2 linked regions of the Rattus norvegicus genome follow. The main gene of each other region encodes a partner of the protein of the gene in region 2 in a complex. Links are inferred from orthologs where the notes say so. Each region holds a gene or a part of one and is shown on either strand. Other genes may lie near its edges.

Region 1 (4,067 bases), on a different chromosome or scaffold from region 2:
AAAGTGGTGCTCAGAGACCAAGGGACACTTGGCGAGGACCCAGAAACTCTCAGTCTCAGAAGAGCAAAGCGTCTCCCAGGTCGGGAGGCAGGGAGAAATCTTTGTGGTTGGGGGAGGGGCAAAGAAGGAGGGAGAACATTCCAAGACAGAAGAGAAAGTGGGAAGAGAAATGGAAGCATGGTTTTTGAGTCTGGAACTTCGAGGACTCTGGCTGTGGAAAGCTCATACAAGTCTTTGCTAAGGACAAGGGAATTCTAGAGCTCCTCTTTCTCGACCAGGACACAGGAGTAGAGTGTGCATAGCTGAACCTCTGGCTGGTGGCCACCTCCAAGGAAGTGCTGTTCTTGGTTCCAGGAGTGGTCAAGGGTGGAAAAATAGTAGGAGCTTTAGAAGTAGCCAATGCTAGTCTTTAATAAAATGTCTTATACCTACATTGTTAGAGTATGCAAAAGATTTAAAGCAAAAGGAGGAGACAGAGCAAGAAGTTTCAGGATCTAGATCAGAACCCCAATGTATTCTGGCAGCCTGCTTAACTTCCTTGAAATTGGCTCATGACTTTACTAGTAATACCCCTATAGCTGCACCCCAAAGGGTTCACAGAGTATCTGCTAGTCAAAGTCTCCCTTATACCCTCTGGAGAAATATGCAGCTTTAGGTGGTCCAGCCTCCTCTGGGGTACCCTCTCTGTACCCAGTCATTTTCTTCTTTAGAGGCACTACCTTGGACTGTTTGCTTGAAATTGAACGATGAGGATGTCTTGTCTTGCCAATCATACTGGCTATGTAAACTCCATGGTGGAGGGGCAGGCTGATGTGGTATCTTTATTCATAGTTTTTGCTCCCTTCTGGCCATTGCTTAGCTGACATGAATTTCTGAGGATAAAGTCTTTACTCCTCTTCCTAAGGAGGAGGGCTGCCTCAGTGCTAGGTAGGGTCTTGCCGGAGATCACTGGACTACCTGGAGGCAGGAGGCATCAACGGGGCCAATGTACTTTCCTGAGAAGCCTGACAATGTACTGAGTTCAGGGCAATGCCAAAGAACAAAAGCACAGAAAGGAGGTGGTTACACAGAGAGGCAGGCAGAGTTGGCTAGAACCCCAGAGGCTCCTGGGCAGTATGCCATCTTCCTGTTCTGGGGGGTGGGGGGGGGTCGTCAAACTAAGAATGTTCCTGGGCCCTTCCTCTAGGAAACTTGCTGTCCTGTTCACTCCCTCTCTCTCCACTCTCACCTCCTTGTGACTCCAGCCCTGGCACTGGCAACTGTCCACCTGGTCTCGGCCTTCCCTTTCGGCTGTGCCAGGCAGGCTGCCGTGACAGCCAGATCACAGGACTGGGGCAGCTGAAGGTGGGAGCTGGCAGTCCCAGGAGGCTCTGACCCACAGAGGACAGGCAGACCGAGCAGGAGCTGTTGGGACACTAAGGACCCAGGAGACTGAAGTAGACAAGAGATTATCGGTGCAGAGAATTTCCAGGTAGGAGGTTAATACAGGTGGAGGTGAAGGGAGTCCTCTTCCCTGAGCTGCGTGGAGGTTATGAGATCAAGTGCCTGTGTTTCCTCTTTTTTGGTACCTGGAGACCGGGGACCAAAGTTATACCTGGGGCAAGAGTGGAGGATGAAGCCAGAATTGAGAAGAGCCAAGTCTCCAGAGAGATGGAGGTTGTGGAGCCAGGTGTCCCACAATGGAGCAGGGAACAAAATCATCCAGGACCTTGGAGTACAGAATACCAGCCTGGCCCTGTCCAGTCCAGATCTGCCTAAGGACTATACCTCTGCTTACACAGAGGCTGAAGGAGCAACAGCTGAGATCCACTAGCCACTGCGGTCGCCCCCGCCCCCGCAGCGTGCTCCTGACTATGCAACAAGTGTCACGTCTACATGTTGGCACATCATCCCCAGTAGCTTGAGCCCCTGGACTGGCCAGCAGCCCCTAAACTCCAAGACCCAGAGACCTTCAACATGGAGTCCTGACCCACTCAGCTCAGGTCAGCCACCTCCACTGATTCACGAGGTGAGCTGGACATGCTCCCATCCTCTCCCCCAACCCTGAACCACCACCACGTGGGGTACAGGGTGCAGGGTGCAGGACATAAAGTGTGAGTCTGTGGCACGGAACACTTTAAAGTACGAGGGACACGGGAGTATGGGGGTGCTAAGTGGTGATATACCAGATAATCACGAAGCCCCCCGCGCTGTCCGAAGAAGCAAAGCCTACATGGCACGTCGCCCCGTGGCCCCAGATGCCCTGTCAATAGGCCTCCCGGTGCGGCTGGCGCGTGGCTGCTCCTGCAAGACTCGCGCCGGGTTTCCCCGGAGGCGGGAAGAACGCGCGTGGGGCGGAAAGAGAGGATCGCGCAGGCTGCACCTCGGGAGAGCCCCGGAGAAAGCCCAAGCGAGCAAGAGGGCACGCACTCACCTCCACACACGGCAGTCAAGGAGAGCCAGAGCAGCAGCAGCGCCTGCACGCAGAAACTCAGATTCATGCTGCAACTCGGTCCGTGGCAGCCCTAATGAGCCGGCGAGTGGGCGGAGAGGCCGGGCACCCTGACGCAAAGAAAGGCGCGAGCCGGGGCTAGCGCGTGCGGGCACGGAGCTCGCGTGGCTCCCGGACCGCTGGCTGGAGAGAGTGAGCGCCCCAGCCGCACCGCTGGCTACCGGCCCCAAGCCTGCTCGCTGCCTCTGCTCTGGTGCAGCCTCCTCTGCCGCCGCAGGGCAGCGCCGCGAAGCTGGCCTTGGTGGCTCCAGTCAGCAGCAAAAACTCTCCAAGTGGTTAGCTGTGCTCTGCCCGCGACTCCCAACTACCCGTTGGTCCAGGCTGCTGGAGAGAATGCTTCCCTGCTCACTTCGGGGTCTGCATTTTGTAGCTTGTGGTTTGGCCGCGAGCCCACTTGGTCATGTGGTCATTAGGAGGCGGGGGTGGGGCGGGGGGAGGCAGGAAGAGGGAGAGGGAGTGAGCCTCCCGCACCGCCCCCCTCCCGGGAAGCATGCTGCAGCCCTATCCAGGGCGCGAGAGAGAACCCCGAGGTGGCCCCACAACAAAGGCTGAGCGGCTGCTCGGACAACCCACAACTGCTCCCGGGACAATGCCTGCCTGGCCGGGGTCCAGAGGGTTCGTAGAGACCTGAAGGATTTCAAACGCAAAAAACATTTGGAGCAGTGAAGGGTACTCTTAACCCTTTCTCACCTGGGTTTCCTTAACAGCTGTCAGGATAGTTGGGCATTTGGAGAAGGATCCTGTTTGGACTCCCCACAACACCCTCCCTCCTTTTCTGAATCTAACTTTGTTCTTTCTTTCCTTGACACTGCATCCCCAAGTATGGGTTTGCTCCTTTGCTCAAGACCTCCCCTACTCCGCCTCCTTTCTCCTCTGCATCTTCAACTGAATTAGAATTGGGGGTGACTGCCTAGGGTGTGCATAAAACTTAGGTCACTGCTTACCACCCTTAATTCTCCCGCTGTCCCCCAACGTGTGCCCTCTACCTGGATGCCTGGCTCCATGACTAAGCTCTTTATGCATACAGCAAAACCTCGATGTCCCACTCAATCTAAAAGCCACCGTTCTGTCTCTGCCCATTCCGGAGATACTGCCCCCTGGTTCCTCTTCACTGTTCGGAGACATTCTGCAGGGTTCTACCGCGTTCCCCTTCTTGTTGCTTGGAGCTGTCCTTTACTTAGTTTGTCCCATTGTAGGGGGGCCTCCCAACGCCTTCCAAACTCGGCTGAATTTTTTTTTACACTCAACTGGGATTCCTTGCTATAAGAGGGCCCCGGAACCATTTGCCTTTCTACTCTAGAGGCTTAGCTCCTTTTACAGCCTGGGGGCTCCCAAAGAAATGCACCAGACTGGGAACCCCTTAAGATTGGACCATAATGGTCCCAATCTTCCAGATCTCTCTAAAGTCCCCAATATCACTCTCTGCACATAGGTGGCACTCAACACATATTAAAAGACTAAATCAAAAGGTGTTTCCACCTTGAAGCAAGGCAGGCAGTTTGCTCCATGTGTACATCCAACCATACACAAAAGGTACGTTGGACAGTGTTTCTATGTACCACAGAAGATGTGAAAA
Region 2 (4,067 bases):
CAGAAAGCCTAGCACAAACATAGACTTCTTTCCTAAATACGGACCAGCCGTCGGAGTTCCCCAAATCCAGTGGGGGTGGACCCATATCTATTCTACACTCCCTCCATATGTCCTTCTTCCCCAAGTGGTCTGTGAGACCTATAGGAGCACAGGAGAAAGTGAGTGGGGGTTCACCCCAGTCCTTCATCAATGAAGCTTATGTGATACTCTTCTGGGTGTGTGTCGCGCACACACACACATACACACACATGCATATATATTTATATATACCCATATTGACAAAAACCAAATAGCCTTACCTAACCAAGTGACTCTTAGTGCCAAATAGCACCAAAACCTATAGAGAAGGTAGGGTGGGGGAGGACACAGGAGAAAGATCTGCTCTACAGTTCACAGTTCTGTAGGAGGTGGAGAGGCAAGGATTGGGGGAGGGGAGGCAAGCAGCATACAGACTAAATACAGATTCCCCTCTCACCCTTTCTCTGTTTTCCCTTCCCAACTCCCCCTTCATCCAAAGCCACCTCAGCCCTGCTGCCTTGCAATTCTCACAGACAATTTTAAAAAGTGATGGGAAGGATACTTGGTTATTGGTAGGATGCATTATTCACTAAGCATCATAGAGATTCTGCCAAAGAATCAAAGATCAGTCTAGCCCTGGTGGCTGAACCAACAATGAACTCATCCAACTTTTTGGAAAGATCGGAGCTGTGGGGACTAGAGTATTCATTGTTTGCCTACATACAGCCACCTGCTGGCTCTCAGAAAACAGGACAAGAACTCAAAAGATAAGTTACTCTTCAATTTTCAGGGTTCTTTACCCTTAAAAGCCCAGCAGGGGAGAAGGCACTGAGTATAGGCAGGAAGGTTTGAGGGGGAGGAAGCCACTAGAAGAGAAAGAGTTAGCGCTAGAAAGTGAGTAGCTGGGGTTGGGGATTTAGCTCAGTGGTAGAGCGCTTGCCTAGCAAGCGGAAGGCCCTGGGTTCGGTCCCCAGCTCCGGAAAAAAAAAAGAAAGAAAGAAAGAAAGAAAGAAAGAAAGAAAGAAAGAAAGAAAGAAAGAAAGAAAGAAAGAAGAAAGTGAGTAGCTGACAGAAACAATTTCTGCAACAGAGAAAACCAAAGCTCAGAGGGCTGAGCAAACAGAAAGAAACAAATTGGGTCAGGACTCACACTTCAACACTTTAGGGTTAACATTGACCCATTTACTACAAACAAAGTGACTGAGGTTTCAAGAAGTTAAGAGACTTGTGCAAGGTCAACCTCAGAAGTACTGAACAGCTGAGCTGTTTGCAAGGCTCCTTCCCTTTCCACTAAACCACAAGCGTGAGAAGAGAGGAGCAAGGCAGAGAGCTTGGAGGTGAGCAGAGAAGGGAATTCGGAGTCCAGGAGAAGCCATGCTACCTGGTTCTCAGAGCGTGAGGATGAAGTTTGGGTCAGGCCCCGAGGCACCAGGCTTCCCTCTGGTCCCAGCCCTAGTCCACAAGGGTTTCTTGGCTATAGGGGATAGATTTCTCATGCATCGGTTCTCCTCCCTTGCACATGTTGGGGCCGGGGCCCTGGCTGTGCCCAGAAGAATAACTGGCAGATTTCTCTGCACTGCTGCTGTGAGGGCTGCCTTTGCACCCGCTCTGGTCACAGCAGAGCATGGAGGTGCAGGCTCGGCGAAATCGGGGGTCAAAGAAGGCATAGAGGAAGGGGTTGAGGCAGCTGTTGACGTAACTGATGCAGGTGCAATAGGGAAAGACATTCATGAGGAAGCTGTCAAAGTCACAGGGCCAGTGCAGCAAATTGCCCAGCATGTAGAGAGTCTTCACCAGGTGGTAAGGCATCCAGCACAGGGCAAAGGTCACCACCAGCACCACGATGATGCTCAGCAGCCGGCGCCTCTTCCGCAGGCCCTCGATGCGCTCCTTTCGGAAATGGCCAGCGATGGTTTGGGCAATGAAGAAGTAACAGGTCAGCATGATGATGAAGGGCACCACAAAGCCCACAGCAGTGGAGGACACCCCAAGGCCCACCTCCCAGGCCCACTCTGAGTTTGAAGTGGCCACCATAGAGTAGTCCATGTAGCACTGGGTCTTGGTGCTGTTTTCCGGGATGTCAGTGGAACGGAACACCATGACGGGCACAGCTAGAAGGGCAGCCAGCACCCACAAGACTGCTGTGGCCACGGCCCCGCTGACTCGCAGCCTTAGTCGAGCGTTAGCCACTGGCCTGACAATGGCCAGGTATCGGTCAAAGCTGAGGCCGGTGAGGCAAAAGACACTGGCGTACATGTTGACAAAGATGAGGTAGCTGCTGAGCTTGCAAGAGAAGGTTCCAAAAGGCCAGTCAAACTCCCGGTAGGTATAAGTGGCCCACAGTGGCAAAGTCACCACAAAGGTCAAGTCAGCCACAGCCAGGCTGGCAATGAAGATGTCAGCTGAGCGTCTCTTTTCTCGGCTGCTCCAAAACACGGTCCAGAGCACCAGGCCATTGCCTGTGGTGCCTAGAAGGAAAACCAGAATGTAGATGGCAGGGATGAGAGCTCCAGAGGGCGTCCAGTCTGCGTAGTCACATTCAGACTGGTTGTCAGCCCCGTAGTAGTTGTAACCATCATCTTCCATGGTGGTGAATGGAGGGAAGCTGGGCAGTGAGTCCCAGGGACACCAGCTCCAAAGTTATCTCAGCAACTCAGCAAGCACCCTGGAGGCTTGGCTCAAACCTCAGAGTAAGTGGTCTGAGGGTGCTTAGAGCCCTTCCCGGCATGCAGAACTAGCCTCTCTGGGAGCTCAGACCCAGCAGGATGTGCTTCTCAGGCGGCTGCACCTCTACCTTCCTGGTCCTAGCCCAGCTCAGCTAAGACACTTCCTTGCACCCTCCTGAGTCTCCGTCTCCTCCTAAAAACTCCACACTCTCTCCTCCCACCCCCAGGCTAACCCCTCCCTCTCTAGTGAGTCTTAAGATCTTTAAGTCACAGCCCACTTCTTTTTCCTTCTTGCCACTGGGTAAGTAGACTAAATTGACCCCTACTGTGCTGGGCTGACAATTATCTGTGCTTGGCCAGCCTGCAACTCCTCCTGGTCCCACCTCCTCTCTCTAGCTGCTACCAGCCTTCACTCCAGACTCTTCACTCTGGTTCCCTCTGGCCACCACTTCATGCCTGCCTTTTTTGGGGGGGAGGGGTATCTATCCCCTTCCTCAGTATTCACCCTCCTGTTCTCACCCTCTCCCAACCCTTCTAAATGAGACAAATTATGCAGATTGAAATCCAGTTTGACCTGAATCCAGGACAAGCCCCAGGCAGAGAGGGTGTGATATTTCACAGGGGTGTCCCAGCATCTGGATGGTCCCTGCTGACCCTGCACTCCCACCCCACCCCCACCCAGATGAGACACTAGGATTCCCTGAACTTCATTCATTCTTCTCTACACATCGGCCTTCAACCCTAGGGTTTCTGAGAACTTTGGTGATTTGCAGACAAAAGCATAATGAAATGTCTTTACAGTTCATAAGCTGCTGGCAGACCAGAGTTTGTAGTTTGCAGATAGAGGTATTAGAAAGTTAGTTGACAGAGTCACAAAAGGAAAGAAACTAAGACAAACTGGCTCCTAGGCACATCATTAAATCTATGGGGAAACTGAGGCTTATGCTAAGTGTCTGATGACAAAGGTCACGGGGTAGATTTTGTTATGGTGGGTTGTTTACTTTTCTTCTTCTCTAAGCATGGGGGTGGGGGGGACAGTTCTAGCATGCCTTCAGGGATCTTTGGCTGTTGACTGAATAAGTAAAAGCCCGAACCGAATTGGGGAAGGAAGAAGAAAAGGAGAATAAATGTGTGAATTACTATGTGGCAAGAACATGTACTCGGGTCCTTACCAATCTCCATGGGTCAAGAGGTTTCATAAGACCACATGGGGTCAGGAAGTTGAGTTAGAGGAGGATGCAGAAAAAGAAGCAGCCCCGAGCAGATGTTGTAGTCACCCTCCCATCTGGCCTTGTCCCCAGGGCTCCGCAGGAAGAGGAAGGATGCTCAAGATAAGGGTTTTTTTGTTTTGTTTTGTTTTGTTTTAAGTGTGTCCTTTCTGTT

What was found. Proteins that work in one complex are often made in the same cells at the same time.
Region 1: the proteins of Aplnr (region 2) and Apln are in contact, whole or in part, in a cryo-EM structure (PDB 8XZG), measured with the Homo sapiens proteins. The link is inferred for Rattus norvegicus from reciprocal best matches to the Homo sapiens genes APLNR and APLN. Residues at the interface, in NP_005152.1 of Homo sapiens: Tyr35, Phe78, Trp85, Tyr88, Thr89, Tyr93, Ser106, Ile109, Phe110, Met113, Pro163, Val164, Arg168, Gln180, Cys181, Tyr182, Met183, Tyr185, Glu194, Glu198, Leu201, Gly202, Ser205, Tyr264, Lys268, Tyr271, Ser275, Cys281, Asp284, Leu285; in NP_059109.3 of Homo sapiens: Arg66, Pro67, Arg68, Leu69, Ser70, His71, Lys72, Gly73, Pro74, Met75, Pro76, Phe77.

The regions. Positions count from the first base shown.
Region 1 is NC_086039.1:132,088,427-132,092,493, forward strand, and holds the start of Apln (apelin preproprotein), read right to left. Parts: upstream 2,821-4,067; 5' UTR 2,481-2,820; coding exon 2,414-2,480; intron 1-2,413. UniProt on the Homo sapiens protein: Peptide hormone that functions as endogenous ligand for the G-protein-coupled apelin receptor (APLNR/APJ), that plays a role in cadiovascular homeostasis. Functions as a balanced agonist activating both G(i) protein pathway and beta-arrestin pathway of APLNR.
Region 2 is NC_086021.1:90,622,815-90,626,881, reverse strand, and holds the start of Aplnr (apelin receptor), read right to left. Parts: upstream 2,828-4,067; 5' UTR 2,605-2,827; coding exon 1,471-2,604; 3' UTR 1-1,470. UniProt on the Homo sapiens protein: G protein-coupled receptor for peptide hormones apelin (APLN) and apelin receptor early endogenous ligand (APELA/ELA), that plays a role in the regulation of normal cardiovascular function and fluid homeostasis.